4 linked regions of the Caenorhabditis elegans genome follow. The protein of the gene in region 1 interacts with the protein of each later gene in a pairwise test. Each region holds a gene or a part of one and is shown in the gene's direction. Other genes may lie near its edges. The genes, in order: rnh-1.3, his-72, nhr-41 and rtfo-1.

Region 1 (2,870 bases):
TTCAGGCACAATTGATTGGAGGATATTATCCATTCCTTTGGTACGCAACGGCTAGTTATCCATTGCATGTGGCTGTATTTCTCTCAATAAACTCAATAATTGAAACAATCATCGATTTACCTTGGGATCTATATTCCACTTTTATTATCGAAGATGCCCATGGATTCAATAAACAAACTATTGGATTCTATTTCGTTGACAAAATTAAGAAAATGCTCGTCGGATTTGCTCTCACTATGCCAATCGTTTATGGAATTGAATGGATTATTGTCAATGGTGGACCATACTTCTTTGTCTATATTTGGTTATTTGTTTCTGTTGTTGTGCTACTTTTGATGACCATTTATCCAACTTTCATCGCTCCACTCTTCGACAAATATTTCCCATTGCCTGATGGAGATCTCAAGACGAAAATTGAACAATTAGCTGCTTCTCTCAGTTATCCATTAACTGAACTTTACGTTGTCAATGGCTCAAAACGCTCGGCTCACTCCAATGCTTACATGTATGGATTCTGGAAGAACAAGCGCATTGTGCTCTATGATACTTTGCTAAGTGGAGCTGAAAAGGAGAAAGTACATGAATTGTATGTGGCAGCTGGAGAGAAAATCGAAGAAACTGAAAACGACAAAAAGAGAGGAATGAACAACGATGAAGTTGTGGCCGTTCTGGGCCATGAATTGGGTCATTGGGCTTTATGGCACACTTTGATCAATCTTGTCATCAGTAAGTTGATTTAACTGAACTCACAGCAAAACGTAGAATTTTTCAGCTGAAGTCAACTTGTTCTTCTCTTTTGCAGTTTTTGGATACTTTTATAAATGGGAAGCCCTCTATCAAGTAATTATATTTAAACCATTAAATTCTTAAAATTTTAATTTTCAGGGATTCGGCTATCACGATACTCCACCAGTCATTGGCATGATGCTCATCTTCCAATTTGTCCTCGCTCTCTACAATCAACTCGCTAGTATTGGAATGGTTATTCACTCCCGTTCTGCTGAATTTGGAGCTGACGAGTTTGCTGCTAACCTCGGACACGGAGAAAATCTTATTGGAGCTTTGACCAAGCTTGGTGTTGACAATCTGTCGATGCCTATCAATGACTCACTCTACTCATGGTGCACTCACACACATCCTCCAGTTGTTGAAAGAGTAGCTGCTGTTAGAGCCTTCCAGGCAAAGAATAAATAAATTCCCATGTTTTACTACTTGTTTCTTGAATGCCAAAGTATTTTATATAATTTAATTTATGATTGTAATGTGATATTATTGCATTTTTTGAACTTAAATTTCGTTAATATTCTCTATAGTAAATAAATTTTTTTAAACAAAAACTGGAAATACAATTAAATTCCAAGGAAAATTTTAAAACGGAACGAGACTGATCTCTCGGTCTCTCATTCGCACAAACTGTCTCATAGAAGGGTCTCGCCGCGACTCAAATACAGTACCCGCGGAGAACAAAAAAAATGTTTTCTAGAATGTTCGCTTTATTGTTGTTTTGTTTTGTTAATTCCCGGGAATTTCCAGAAGTTTGCTTTCTTCTGCGAAACAATTCATATCATCATTTTGTTTTTATTAAGATCTCCGTTTTCATTCTTCTTTTCTCTCTCGCATGCTTTTTTCCTATCAAATGAACTGAAATTTTAAAGAAATGCCGTACGACTTCTACACCGACGGTTCCGCTCTCGGAAACGGCCAACAAGGCTCCAGAGGAGGCTATGGAGTTCACGTTCCAAGTGGTACGGTTTTTTGTGCAATTAATTGTTCCTTATTTGAACATATTTCAGATACATCGAAGAATGTGAGTGGCTCTTATCCACACGGACCACAAACCAACAATCGATATGAGCTGGAAGCCATCAAGCACGCCACCCAAATGGTAATTTTCAAACATTCGTACCAACATTCAATTTTCTGCATTTTCAGGCTCGTGATGTTCCAGACAGCCACGTGAGAATCCACACTGATTCCAAGAACGCGAAGGATTCTGTCACCAAATGGAATGACAACTGGAAGTCGAATGGCTACAAAACTTCTTCGGGACAAGATGTGAAGAATCAGGATCTCATCAGAGATATCGACCGCAATGTTCAAGCGCTCAAGCATAGTGGAAAGGTAAGATTATAATTATTATATATAATTCATAAAACACCGCTTTTTAATGGAAATAATTAAAAATTACAGACTGTCGAGTTCGAGCATGTCCGCGGACATAGCAATAGAATGTACATTTGAGTACCCAAGCCCTCTATTTTTCCCGCATCTTTCCTTTTTGAATAAAAGCAATAAAGATGAATAGTGGATAAACTTTCTTGGATTGAAGGAATATGCTCCGAAACACTGGGAAAGCTTCTTGAAAATATCAAGAATCGCGAGTACGGTAGCTGATATAGTGTATCTCATTTCAAGTCCTGGTCTCGAAGAGAAGTGATTTTTGCGCCAAAACTACGACATCCGAAAAAAACAAGAAAAATCTATGAAAATTCCGGAGCAACGAAAGTTTGAAACTACAGTACTCGTTAAAGGCGCACACCTCTTTGCCTTGAACAAAAATGTGTCGTGTTGAGACCAGGCACTGTACCGTTGGCGTAAAAATCGCAAAATTTCGGTTAATACGATCTTCAAAAATATTCAAACATTTTTTTTTTAATTGAATGAATGTTTGACAACTTTTGTGAAATCACAGCTCACTCGCTCTATTCAACGTATTTGCTCGCACCCAAACAGTTTGTGTGATCCGAAATGTTTTTTTTATAGAGCAGATTGCTCTTTTCGCAGTGAGCATTGCTTGCATTGCACCGCGAGCAGGCCAAAAACATCAGTCTATTTTCTCTTTTCAAATACATTTCGCACATTCGTTTTGT
Region 2 (3,795 bases), on another chromosome or scaffold:
GCTTATGAAGAGCATAGCTGTCGGCTCGGAGTGCAACACGTGCTCCTGTGTTCAGTGAGTTGATATCAATGGATTTATCCACGTCGACGACATATTTTCCTTCTGGATGAACTTTCACAAGAACTTTCTTCTTATCCATGGCTTTGCTCACTTCACCGACGTAACTTCCTTGCTCGTGGAGCTGCTGAAGCTCTTCTTTCAGCATACGAACTTTTGTGTTGAGCTCATTACGCTGAGCTTGCAGACGACGCACATTTTGTGATTTGTCGGCCACTTTTTGCTGAAATACTTGATAAACCCTTGGGCTAAACTTTTTAAAAAATACAACAAACCTGCGCATCATCGACTTTTGTGCTGAAATATTTGCGAAGAGTTTTCTCATCGGATTCTTCGGTCAATTTTTGAGCCGTTGGCTTAGAAGGGTCAGCTGATGAAGCAGTAGAAGCAGGTGGAGCCATTAACACTGGAAAAAATAAATAATAGCTTTAAATAAGTTGAGACTAATAAAAACTGAAATAACACGACAAGAAACGTGTGGATCTCTCATTTTTCCCTGGAAATTGAATTTTCAAGCCAATTTATCGAAAAAATCGCCTAAAAAAACGAATTCAAACCTTGAAAACTGATAAAAATTGAGAAACTTTAAAAATGATGATATTTCAACCGGAGAACCAATATGGCGTCAATTGTGGCGCCACGTACGCAATGCTGTACACGCCGACGCAAAAATGCACAGTTGTGTTTACGTTAAATTTAAAGAAATATTAGATTGATTTCCTCGTTTTCATGTTAATTTCTTGATGTTTTTCTTCGAAATTTAGAAAATTAAAGATTTTTCGTCCAATTTACTGTTTTTATCTTCAAAATTACCCGCAGAAATTTGTTATAAACCTTTATTTAGATCTGGAAATGCGTTTTTTTCTGAAACTTCCTCAAATCATTTAGAAAATATTAATATTTGAAGAGGAATATTTTTAGAGTATCCAGTATTTCAATTTTCTGTGGAATTGAGAAAAATTACTGTTTCTGTTTTTTTTTTTTTTTGAAATTTCAACTTGAACAGTAATCAGATTTTTTACTATTAGTGCAATTTCTTTGAATATTTTAAATAAAAAATCCTCCTCGATCCCAAGAAACTCCAATTTTTACTATATTTTCTCAAGAAATGCGTTCAAAGTCCGCAATCGCGCGAGAGCAGCGGCGACACTGAAGAGACCGCAGAGAAGCGGCACGCATTTCGGAAATAGTGTGTGTTTGCAAGAGAGTGGCCCCCCGATTAAACTAGCGCGCGTAAAATTTTTGCATTTTGTTGTTTCGTTCCGTCTGGAAAATTCGAATTTCGCAGCATTTTAATTCATATCTCAGCTCATTTCGCATATTTTTTCCTGAAAATTTCCAGTTTGGTCCGTTACCTTATTCCGGTTAATATACTCGAATTTCATAAAAATCTACGGATGAATCGCTAAGTTATCGCTAGAAATGAAATTCTTTAAAAAATTTTGCCCGATTAGTAATTTTTCTGAAAATCCACGTGGATTCAGGATCCTTCGCGACCTGAAGTTTAAAGTTAATTTTCCAGATTTTCAATGAGGATTTTTGAAAGATTTGATATTTCTTGGCATAAGTTTTCCAGCTTTAATCCGGATTTGGTCCAGACCCCACAAAATCGATACGACAAAAGGGGGGAGGAGGCGGAGACTTGGCACAATGCCAAGTCTTTGCTCTCTGTGTCGTCACGTGTCTTCGTGTTGGCTGAGTATCAAACGTTATAGTGTGGACACCAATTTGGCTTCGTACTTCTTACTCGTTCCCGCCCCGCCCCGACACCATTCGAATATATATTGTCAGTTGTTCTGTTTGTCGTCGTGATGAGAGGTGCGTGCGTGTGCGCGCGCGCTCTCCCAACTTTTCGGACCATTTTGCGGGCTTTATACTGCAATTTGGCTCATTTCTTCTCCTTTTTTTTCCACAGGCTTATTTTGTACTCTCGAGTTGACAGCCTTTTTCGGTATAGGTTGGAAGTAGTCCATTAAAGTAGATGTTTCTTAAGAATTTATCGGCTTAGCATCGATTTCGACCTAGTTAGATGCCACGTTTATGCGCGAAGCGGCCGCGTCGCGGCGAGAATTTCAGTGCGGTTTTACGGGATTATCCATTAAAATCAGGAAAATCAGCAGAAAACTTCTTAACAAAACTAATTTTTTTAGAAAAGAATTTAGAAATACGTAGTCTTGAATAATTCAGCAACTTTTTCAAATTTTATGAGAATTTCGCAATTTCCTACACCTCCTATTTCATCATCACTTCCGAAATCCTACGTTATCGATCGAACACGCGACGCGACCGCAGCGCACCTACTAAGCGCGCGCATTTCGACCGTGACGCGACCGCAACGCGGTGGTGTCAGGGTGCGCGCGCTTTTTCAATCATATGTGGTGCGGTCGATTCCTTCATTCATCCTTCTGTATGCAGCTGCTCATCAGTTTATTGAGCATCTGCTGTACCAATTCGTACTTTAAATTAAATATTAAGAGTACATTTTCTGTGTGCTCTGTATATAAATGTCTAGAATAAACTGCAAACAAGAATTCTTGGCTCCATCTTTCCCTGAATCAATATCGATCGATAGTGACACGCGACGCGACCGCAACGCGTAGGGCCATTTCATATTGATTCTTCTTCTACTCTTCCTTCTTCTCCTTCTGCTCTCACATTTCCTCACTATTCCAACCATTCTCAATTCTCAATTTCCAGAACAACAATGGCTCGTACCAAGCAAACCGCTCGTAAATCCACCGGAGGAAAGGCTCCAAGAAAGCAGTTGGCCACCAAGGCCGCCCGCAAATCGGCTCCAACCACCGGAGGAGTCAAGAAGCCACATCGTTACCGTCCAGGAACTGTCGCTCTCCGTGAGATTCGTCGTTACCAGAAGTCGACTGAGCTTCTCATCCGCAAGCTTCCTTTCCAACGTCTCGTTCGTGAGATTGCCCAGGACTTCAAGACTGATCTCCGCTTCCAGTCGGCTGCCATCGGAGCTCTCCAGGTTTGTAGTTTGAATTTGAAATTTAAAAAAAATTAATTAAAATCTTTTTTTTTTTCCAGGAGGCATCTGAAGCATACCTCGTCGGACTCTTCGAGGACACCAACCTGTGCGCCATCCACGCCAAGCGCGTCACCATCATGCCAAAGGACATGCAACTCGCCAGACGCATCCGCGGAGAACGTGCTTAAGCTCCATCACCAATTCTCGAAGCACTTTTAATATTCATTTAATCCAACTTGTACCATAATCCTCGTATTTTTCCATCCCGAAAATTGATTTTTGCGATCGAACCGCCGATCTCATCACCACTTTTCTCTCCGTTCTTTATGTCTTATTTTATTCGTAAATTGCTGAATTTCATGTTGAACTCCAACAAAAAAAAATAAAGTTTCGTGTGCTTCAGTAGTCTAGCAACATCATATGAACGCCTAGCAACTATATTCCACGCCGCCGCAGTTTTGAATTGAATTCACTAAATTCATGCTCTGAATTCACAAAAAAAATGTTTCTTCGAGTCATTGGAAATAGTAAAAAACGCCAGCGACTATTTATCAGTAAGTTTTAAAAGGGTCTCGTCGCGAAATTCACATTAAAAATATTAATTTTCTGTATGTACCTTTAAAATTACTGTAGAAAATCTATCAGATGGGTCTTGGCGCGCAAAACGCAAAAAATAAATTGATTTCATTGCATGCTTTTTCCGCGCCGAGACCCATCTAACCTAAATTTTTCAAAAAGGTGTGCGCCTTTAA
Region 3 (4,694 bases), on another chromosome or scaffold:
AAATTGGCCCCCATATTGAGCCATTTCCTATAAGTTTGAAAAATAGGTCGCGGTGGCTTCGCTGGGTAGAGGTTGGGCTGACGCGCGGAAGACAGGGGTTCAATCCCCGCTGTAGGTGAATATTTTTGTGAGACTTTTTCCATCTAACAAGAAAAGAATCTCGAGTTGGAAACTAGGTTGAACCCTGTATGTGAAATTTTTGGCCCAAAAAACCGGAAATTTTCAATTTTCGCCGCGATGGCTCAGTGGCTAACAGGTTTGGCTGTGAATCTCGACACCAGGGTTCGACCCCAGCCGGTCCCAAATTTTTTTTCCGGTACATTTTTGATCATATGAAATGGGTAAATATTGTCGAAAAAAATTTCCAAAAAAAAATTAACAACAAATCCTCACAGCTAATACTTAAGCAACAAAGCCGCTCACCTATAAATTATCTTAATGAAAATGAAAAAAGAAAATCCGCCCCGGCCGGCACAGAAGAAAAAAATTATTTAACAGATTGAGTTCACGGCTCCGCTAAACACCGATTATCCCCCGGTAGCGGGGGATATGATTTTTGGGGATTTTTCAAGGATTTTCTATACTTTCCATATTTTGATGAAAAAAATTTTACTCCATCAGTGTAACTTTTTTGACAAAATTTGTGAGAGTTACATTTTTGTAAATTTTTTCCAAAATAATGAAAAAAATGTGTGTAATGTCAAAATTACTTTAAAACAGGGGAAACTATGTTAAATTAAGCTGTGCAAAAATGTTCTGGTGCACGTTGGGGTCGAGCCCTTGACCTTCTGCGCCATAGCCTAACATGTACCCAGTTCAGCACACATTTTCACGAAATTTCTAAAAAATTTCAAAATTATCTTAATTAGGCCAATATGGGAGTCACGTTGAAATTTAATGGAGAATTCGAATTTGACGTTTAATTTACTAAAATTTAATTTTTTCAACGAAAATTACTCGACACATGGAAAGTGTTGAAAACTAGTTTCTAGCTCGAAATTTTGTATTTTTGTCACTCAAAAAATTGCAACAAAAACTTATGACCAAGCTGGGACTCGAACCCCTGACCTTCTGCACCATAACCCAGCCTCTACCCGATTGAGCCACTTCGCCCCATTTTCCGAAATTTTTGACAATTTAAAAACTACCGAAATAGGTCAATATGGGGGTCATATTGACGGAAATTTTTTGTAAAATTCGAATTTTTAGGTTTAAAACGTTTAAACCCAAATGCTAAAGACTTAAATGTTCGTTTTCCTCAAAAGTTGTGACCTTTTTTTTTGCAACTTTGTTATACCAAAACCGCAACACATAGTACAGTTCCCCCCGCCCCCAAAATTCGTTCCGCGTTGCTATTAGCATACAATGCCCCCCACGGTCACTCACCTCTGTGTGCACTCTCCCGGTTTCGCGCACTATTTCCCACGCCGCGCGCCACACCGCTTGAAACATATTTCCAGTTGGTCAGCAGCGGCTGACTGACCGGCGGCGCGGTGATAAGGGGGAGAGTCTCCAGGAATAACGGTCTGAAACACCTCTCACTGTACTACTATATTATTCTCTCTTGTTTCTGTATACTCATGTACACTTTGCCAAAGTGCTCTGATCACCCACATCGTCCCCTTATTCTAGAAAATTCCACGTCATCAACTGGGCTAATATTTGCTGAGAGTCAAGCTTCAGCATCCCATCAAACTTGGATTAATATGGTGAGTTTTCTGAGGAAACGTTCATTTTTGTACATTTTTTAGGTTTTACTGAAGAACTAGCACTCAAATCGAAAATATTTCGGTACTTGTGTATTACATGTCCTCATTTTTAAATTAAATTAAACGGTTACTCGTGAATTTTTAGCTGCGAATCTCCAAAACCAAGCTCACGGCGAGCTCTCAAAGATCCTGAAAATAGCACTTTAACGAAGTAGTGAAGGGCCAATTTTCCAAATTTACTTTGGTAGCTCATATCTCAGCGGATAAATTTTTTACCGAAAAGTCATCAACTAATATGTTGTTGATATTTTTGTAAAGAACAAGTTTGTAGTTGAAAGTTTTTGTCAAAAAAATTGTTGTTTCAGATAGAAGCGCATGAAGTGCGGCAACTGCTGCTATTGCGATTTTAATGCTTTTATCTAAAACAAAAAACTTTTGGTAAAAACTTTTAACTACAAACTTGTTCTTTACAAAAAGTTCAACAATTTATCAGTTGATGACTTTTCTTTGAAAAATTTATCCGCAGAGATATGAGCTACCAAAGTGAATAAGGAAAATTGCTTGTTTTGATCGTAAAGTGCTTCGTTACAGTGCTATTTTAGGATATTTGAGAGCTCGCCGTGAGCTTGGTTCTGGAGATTCGCAGCTATCGAATGGCACAGGTTTCATATGCAAGTCCGATGGGCACCTTCTGACGGTTCCCTAGTTAGGAAATTTTATTTCCTAAGCCTAAAAATCCAAAAGTGTGGTTCACGTTTTTATTTTGCACAACTTAAAAAATTACTATAAAAATGAGGGCATGTAATACACAAGTACCAATATTTCAATTAAAATGTATTCAACGTTAAATTCTACACCAATTTACCGCACAATACAAAACAATTTCTGAAAAAAACTTTTTTTCGGGACAATTGTTTAAAAAATTTTTAAAGGCTAATTTTTCAATTTTTCAATTATTTTATTAAAACATTCGAATCTTCCGTCTAAAATCTCTAAAATCCGTTAATTTACCCCCATATTGCCCTATTTCCGATAAGTTAAATTTGGTCTCGGTGGCTCAGTCGGGTATCTGTTGGTCTAGACTATGACGCAGAAGACCGGGGTTCTAGTCCGGTAGGAGGGATTTTCTTTTTATTTTGATTTCTTGTACAAAATAACATGTAAAAGTCTAAATTATGGGAGTTAAAAAAAGATTTACGAAAAAAAAATTCTAAAATGAAATTCCTGTCACTCTAAAACTGTTTCAACCATCAAAACAGTTATAGTAAAAAATAAAAACCACAACTGGGCTCGAACCCTCGACCTTCTGACTCAGCCTAACCTCTGACCAGCTGAGCCACTGGGACCCAATTTTTTGACTTTTCTAAAAATTTCAAAATTTTTGTAAATTGGTCAATATGGGTGTCAACTTAACGGAAATTTCATGGAGAATTCGAATTTGACAATGAATATCTTTTAAAAAAATTCTCTGAATTTAAAGTTTGGAAAAATTGTCTTAAACAGGCTAATTAACTGGAAAGTTTATGAAAAATTATAATTTTCTTATTCCAGACGCTGGGTGACCCTTGCTCCGTCGAGCAACCCCCACCTCCACCCATCGATTTCTCACGGAGCCTAATTGCTCCGACCGCTATCAAACAAGAATCTCACCTAATTCCCTCAACGCCAGGTAATATTCTAATTAATTTTTTTCGAATAAAAAATAAATATAAATATGTTCAGGCACCCCAACAGCTTTCCAACCCCCACAGCATGCGAACACACCAATCCCTGGTATTCAGCCGAATTTGTTCAATCCGGCAATAATGGCGGCTCAACTAAACGTATTCAGCAACCCACAGTTGATGGCAATGATGCAGGTAAACTATTTTCTGCAAAAATGAGAATTCGGCAAAACTGGCAGTGCAAAAATAAAAAAATAAACTTCCCATGCCGGGAATCGAACCCGGGCCGCGTGGGTGAAAACCACGAATCCTAACCACTAGACCACATGGGAGGACGAAACGAGGAGGTCTCGAGTGCCTAGAGAAGAGTGTGCGGGAGGGGCCTGCTGACTGTAGCGGAAAAAGTTATATGGCGGGGGCAAAAAGAATGTCCAATTTTTTTCGAAAAAAAAACGAAATATCTCTCAAATTCTCGACCCTAATGAAAAATTACTATGTGTCTATGTGTGTGGAAGGTCATTCGATAACCTTTTTTTTCCCTCAAAAAAATATCATGAAAGGTTTGATCTCGTTTTCAAAAATATTTTTTAACTTTTGCCCCAAAATTTGTTTTTTTTTTGTTAAATTCTCCCTTAAATTTTTGAATTTCCAGGCTACCAGAAACCCATTGTTAGGACACCCGTCAGTTGTCGGTCCACCAATGATGCCAAATATCATTCAACAGCTAAATGCCCTTCGAAATGTTCAGGTAAAAAAAATGTTGCTCAAAGAACTTTTTTTCAAAAAAATTTTCCAATTTTTCCGATTTTCTAGGATTCCTTTTTATTTTAACACACTTTAACTATCCAAACAAACCTTGAGAAAAACATTTTCCCTTACTTGGGCTCGAACCCCGGTCTTGTGCGCTACAGCCCAACCTCTACCCAGTTGCGCCACTTCGATCCATTTTCAAAAATTTTAAAATAATTAGAATCCGGTCATTATGGGGGTCAAATTAACGGAAATTGCACGCAGAATCCGAATTTCGACATGAAAAACAATGAAAATCAATGCCTCAACCTAAAAAAACACAAAATTTTAACTAGAATTAAAACAATTTTAGGTTAGGACTTGGAGTTTTTCAAATCATTTACTAAATTTTCTGCGTATACCTAATATTCCAATACCCTTTTTTCCAAAAGTTTGGACTACAAGGACAGTGTCGCGAGCGCGCGCGCTCTCTCTAAAAACAGGTTTTGATCACCGGTCGAATTGTAGCTCCGCCCACTTTCCGGGGTCCTCAGGTGACCTCTACGCTGTTTGGCAACTTTCTAGATTAATG
Region 4 (4,901 bases), on another chromosome or scaffold:
GAGTTCTAATAAAGTAGTGAACGTTGCAGGCTCATAGCCATTTCAAATATTCAAATTTTCAATATTCATTCAGAATGCGTGATGAGAGGTACGTCGTCACGCAATACAATTGCCGGTTTTGTGAGAAGGAAGAGAGATCGATTAGAATGAAAGTGATATAGAGAGGAGAAACCACTTGGCTGGATAAACATGTACTTGATGGTTAGAACTGTCGGAAAAGCAAAATGGATTGTGTTCGAGAAAATATGAACATTTGGAAAGTTTTGAGTTCTGAAGCTTTAAAAGAATAATAAGATAAAATACGTTCACAAAGTCTTTTGAAATTTTATACGGGCAACTCGGACTGAAAAAGTTAGACAATCAATGTGAAATCGGGTTTTTTACAGAAAGTCTCTATATTTAGCGTTAAATTAAAATTGAATGTTACTAATGTGAACATTTGTTGAATTGGACATCAAGATTTTGTTTCGCAATTATTTACCGTAATCTTGAAGGCGCATATACAAATATATAGAGGGCCGTAAATTGATACGAGCTACAGTAACTCGTTGTCCGAGTGGCGAGACCCCTGCGAGTAAAGTATAACCAACATTAAAATATCTAAACGTCTGCGTTATACGGAATTTTTTATGTATTAAACACAAATGAGTCTCTCTTAAAAACTCGTAGAAAGAAAACATGCAGTATTTCAATAATCAGATAACTTACCAAAATTAAACTCTGCCTCAGCTGCTCCTCCATTGTGTCGATGGGATTCGAACCGCAAATTCTTCATTTTCTTCGAAAACTTCGCTTACTACTTCTACTAATTGTCGAATGGCAACAGGAAACACGAAAAGAAAGATTATCCTTTATTTCTGATTCTCTGTATCTCCAGGTCTACCTAAACACTTTAATAGAACAACTGTTCACTAAAGAGCATTTGATCTTTCTTTTTTCGTTTTTTCTTCTCTTACATCGTTTAACCTGGAAAAGGGGTTGTATTTCCGTAAGCCATCTACCCTTGTCTCTTCTTATGTTTTTTTCTTGATTAATGGTTTTTGAGAATACTGTGAGAGCATAAGAGATTTGAAAAACCTATAAGAACACTTCGGATTCCCACAGGATGGGCACTAAAGAATTAGTTTTTCTAAACTTCAGAAAATGGGAGTGTCTCTCAATTTCCTTATCGATTATAAAAGTGTTTGGTATTTATATATAAATCCATTAAATATACATAGCTTGCACCATGACCTACAGCAACAGAAGCCAATATCCCAATTGTGTGCGACAACCTTGCAAAATAGCGTGCGCGGCTTGCAAAGTGGGCGGGACTAAATGTATTGACACTGTGCAGTTTGAATGTAAAAATTTATTCTTAATTTTCGGTATTTTCTTTGGTTTTTCGTTATTATAATTGATTTTTAATGATTCTTTATTATTATCTTAATTCAAAGAGTAGAAAAACTTTATTGCACCCGTCCTTTTTGTTTCTCGAATCCAATATTGACACATTTTTTGAGAAACTTAAGTTTTTTCTTAATTTTTCGAATATTTTCGACAAAAACGCGCATATATCATTAAAAATATGACACTTTTCCTTGTTTCTTTTATTTGTTTAAATATTTGTATGAAACCTATTGTTCGTAGCCATCTTGCAACTGTGTGTCGATATCGATTTTCCCAGAACAAATGTCAGACGCTCTACATCACTTTTATACAACCGTTTCTTCTCACCGTTCTCTAATAATTTATTCAATTCATAATTATGTTCTCAGGGTCAGTTTAATCAACAATGTCTTCCTCTGAGAGTGCTTCATCAGACGAAGAGACAAAACGCCGTGCTCCAGCCACTTCAGATTCCGATTCTGACTCAGACGCAGGTCCAAAACCTGGAAAACCTCTCAGTACCGACTCCTCGGCATCCGATTCAGATGCCGAAAAACCACAGTGAGTTTTACTGTTTTCTATCCAAAAAAAAGTTATACGAGTTTCCATTTTCAGGGCAAAGCCTGCAAAAAAGAAGACTTTAACAAAGCGAAAGCGGCGAGCTACTGGAAGTAGTGACGATGACCAAGTAGATGATGATTTATTTGCTGACAAAGAAGACAAAGCAAGATGGAAGAAATTGACAGAATTGGAAAAGGAGCAAGAAATTTTTGAAAGGATGGAGGCTCGTGAAAACGCGATTGCTCGAGAAGAAATTGCTCAACAACTTGCTAAAAAAGCAAAGAAAAGTTCTGAAAAGGGAGTCAAAACCGAAAAACGAAGGAAAATGAACAGTGGTGGAAGTGATGCAGGTTCCCCGAAACGCAAAGCTTCATCGGATTCCGATTCTGAGATGGATGCTGCTTTCCACCGACCCAGTGATGTAAGTTTATTTTTTTATTTTTCAAATAAAAATTTTTATTCCAGATTAACCGCAAACATAAAGAGAAGAATGCTATGGATGCTCTGAAGAACAAACGTAAAGAGATCGAAAAGAAAAATGCAAAAAACGAAGCACTCTCTATCGATGCTGTTTTTGGAGCTAATTCGGGATCTTCAAGTTCGTCTAGTTCAAGCGAAAGCTCTCGTTCATCATCTTCTTCCCGCGAATCATCACCAGAACGTGTATCCGAAAAAGATAAGATAGTAAAGAAAGATGTTGATGGACTTTCGGAACTTCGAAGAGCTCGATTGTCCCGTCATAAACTTTCATTGATGATTCATGCCCCATTCTTTGATTCTACTGTCGTAGGATGCTATGTTCGACTTGGACAAGGGCAAATGAGTGGCTCAGGAAGCAAATATCGGATATGGAAGATTGTCGGTGTGGAGGAATCCAACAAAGTCTACGAATTGGAAGGAAAAAAGACAAATAAAATCATAAAATGTCAGAATGGTGAGTTGTTTATTTACTTGTGAAAATTTGAAATCTGTTACAACCTTAACTGCAGGTGGATCAGAACGACCATTCCGTATGCAATTCGTTTCAAATGCTGATTTCGAACAAATTGAGTTTGATGAATGGCTTCTGGCATGTAAGAGACACGGAAATCTTCCAACCGTCGATATTATGGATAAGAAAAAACAAGATATCGAAAAAGCAATCAACCACAAGTATTCGGACAAAGAAGTCGATCTGATGATCAAGGAAAAGAGCAAATATCAAACAGTTCCACGAAATTTCGCTATGACAAAAGCTAATTGGTCCAAGCAAAAAGAGCTGGCTCAACAACGAGGTGACATTCGAGAAGCCGAACAAATTCAAACTAAAATCGATGAGATTGAACGACAAGCTGATGAATTGGAGAAAGAGCGAAGCAAGTCAATTAGTGCGATTGCGTTCATTAACCATAGGAATCGATCAAAAATAAAGGACCAAGTCCTGAGTGGGCAATTGAAGATCGAAGAGAATTCACAGGATGATCCTTTTACACGTAAGAAGGGAGGTATGCGTGTTGTTTCTGGATCTAAATCAAGACTTGACGGAACTCTTTCCGCATCTTCATCAACCACAAATTGTAAGTTAATAGGAAATATCAATTTTTTGACATAACTTTATAATTTTCAGTATCTGACGGCGGAAAAGACAAAAGTTCATCATTGGCTAAACCGACGCAACCTCCTCCATCTACTCAAATAAAGAAAAAAACTGATATATCCAGTCTGCATGACTTTGATCTAGACATCGATTTGGGTAAATTGAAGGATTTTAGTACGCCGGAATCGTCAGGAAACAAACGTCCATCAATTAGTTCTTCCAAGTTAGCACATCTTATAGTGGACTATTTTAATTGCTATATTTTCAGAGGAGTGTCACTTAGTGATTATCGAATGCGTCGATCAGGAGGTGGTGACGCTGGATCCTCCACATCAGCTGCACCATCCTCAGCAGTTTGAACTGTCTTTTTCTACATCTCTTTGATTTTCTCAGCGTTACCCCCCTCATCCCTCATCGTTACGTTTTACTTATTTTCTTTCGTTTTATAAACTGATCAAAACTTGTTCAATTCCTTCATTATACTATTCCGTTCATTTTTTCCAATTTTTGAGAACACATTTTTTTAGCTTTTAATTTCGTCAGAATAAAATAAATCGTAATAAAGATAGCAATTGCAGAATGCAAGAAATGGAACATTTTATGAATCCTTCACCGTTTGTTTTAGATCTTTCCCACTCACTGATACTCCTCACCAATCCCAAACCTTTAATTTTAAATTTTCTATGTGATTCTATTGATTTTCACCCTCATTCATCTTTTCATGTTTTATTCCTTTTTTGATTCCTTGTGACTACTGTATTCCTAGGTTAACGGATGTAAACCAAAAATCTGTGTGAATTTTTTGAAACTTTTCTAATAATTTTTCGTGCAATTAATGAATAAACTCAAAGTTCTTTTCACGTTTTTATTCCATCTTTCAGGATTAGAAACCCGGTATACAGAAATGGTTTGGAATGTGAACGAAGAATTGTAATTTAACATCTTAAGCGCTACAGCTCTTTACTCGGCTTGGCTCGAAGAAATGAGCTTTTGCTCAGTGAGCATTGACAGGCAACAGGGAGCTGGAAAGGAAGGGATTAGATTATTTCGAGATTAATACAATAAGAGAAATAAGACAAACCTGGATTTGTTCAACAATCCAATCCTCACAATTATCATCCCCTGTGTTTCGTAGAACTTTGAATGAGAGGGTCTGAATGCCACATTGACCATGAGCTGGAAATATATTTCAATCACAAATTACATGTAATCAACGGACCCCTCAGTTGAAAAACGTAGAACGCTCTCATTACGTAAACGTCCAAATTGATCATTTTCGCCATACAATACGTACATGGGTCTCGCCACGCAGACATTGACATACAGTAGCTCGTGTCGATTTACGGGGCCTACATTGTCTCATGTTTTAAATATTAGACGAACAATTGCGCCAAGA

The links.
Region 2: the proteins of rnh-1.3 (region 1) and his-72 interact in a two-hybrid assay, tested with the Caenorhabditis elegans proteins (one large-scale study listed by BioGRID).
Region 3: the proteins of rnh-1.3 (region 1) and nhr-41 interact in a two-hybrid assay, tested with the Caenorhabditis elegans proteins (one large-scale study listed by BioGRID).
Region 4: the proteins of rnh-1.3 (region 1) and rtfo-1 interact in a two-hybrid assay, tested with the Caenorhabditis elegans proteins (one large-scale study listed by BioGRID).

The regions. Positions count from the first base shown.
Region 1 is NC_003279.8:9,709,531-9,712,400, reverse strand, and holds rnh-1.3 (RNase H type-1 domain-containing protein), read left to right. Parts: upstream 1-1,655; 5' UTR 1,656-1,657; coding exon 1,658-1,745; intron 1,746-1,793; coding exon 1,794-1,885; intron 1,886-1,932; coding exon 1,933-2,121; intron 2,122-2,190; coding exon 2,191-2,241; 3' UTR 2,242-2,313; downstream 2,314-2,870. Other genes in the region: fce-1 (CAAX prenyl protease 1 homolog), read left to right, coding at 6-726, 773-840, 886-1,194.
Region 2 is NC_003281.10:12,367,124-12,370,918, reverse strand, and holds his-72 (Histone H3.3 type 2), read left to right. Parts: upstream 1-1,868; coding exon 1,869-1,875; intron 1,876-2,374; exon of another isoform or gene 2,375-2,600; intron 2,601-2,754; coding exon 2,755-3,043; intron 3,044-3,102; coding exon 3,103-3,262; downstream 3,263-3,795. Other genes in the region: rpt-6 (26S proteasome regulatory subunit 8), read right to left, coding at 1-280, 333-458; Y75B8A.33 (DUF221-domain-containing protein), read left to right, coding at 3,546-3,597. UniProt on the Caenorhabditis elegans protein: Variant histone H3 which replaces conventional H3 in a wide range of nucleosomes in active genes. Constitutes the predominant form of histone H3 in non-dividing cells and is incorporated into chromatin independently of DNA synthesis.
Region 3 is NC_003282.8:1,384,583-1,389,276, forward strand, and holds the start of nhr-41 (Nuclear Hormone Receptor family), read left to right. Parts: upstream 1-1,632; 5' UTR 1,633-1,706; coding exon 1,707-1,709; intron 1,710-3,260; coding exon 3,261-3,378; intron 3,379-3,431; coding exon 3,432-3,568; intron 3,569-3,633; exon of another isoform or gene 3,634-3,705; intron 3,706-4,025; coding exon 4,026-4,121; intron 4,122-4,694.
Region 4 is NC_003283.11:9,579,501-9,584,401, reverse strand, and holds rtfo-1 (RNA polymerase-associated protein RTF1 homolog), read left to right. Parts: upstream 1-1,757; 5' UTR 1,758-1,774; coding exon 1,775-1,929; intron 1,930-1,983; coding exon 1,984-2,350; intron 2,351-2,394; coding exon 2,395-2,863; intron 2,864-2,918; coding exon 2,919-3,485; intron 3,486-3,535; coding exon 3,536-3,728; intron 3,729-3,773; coding exon 3,774-3,864; 3' UTR 3,865-4,361; downstream 4,362-4,901. Other genes in the region: F25B3.2 (CTCK domain-containing protein), read right to left, coding at 4,456-4,527, 4,587-4,681. UniProt on the Caenorhabditis elegans protein: Component of the PAF1 complex which is a multifunctional complex involved in transcription initiation via genetic interactions with TATA-binding proteins, elongation and transcription-coupled histone modification.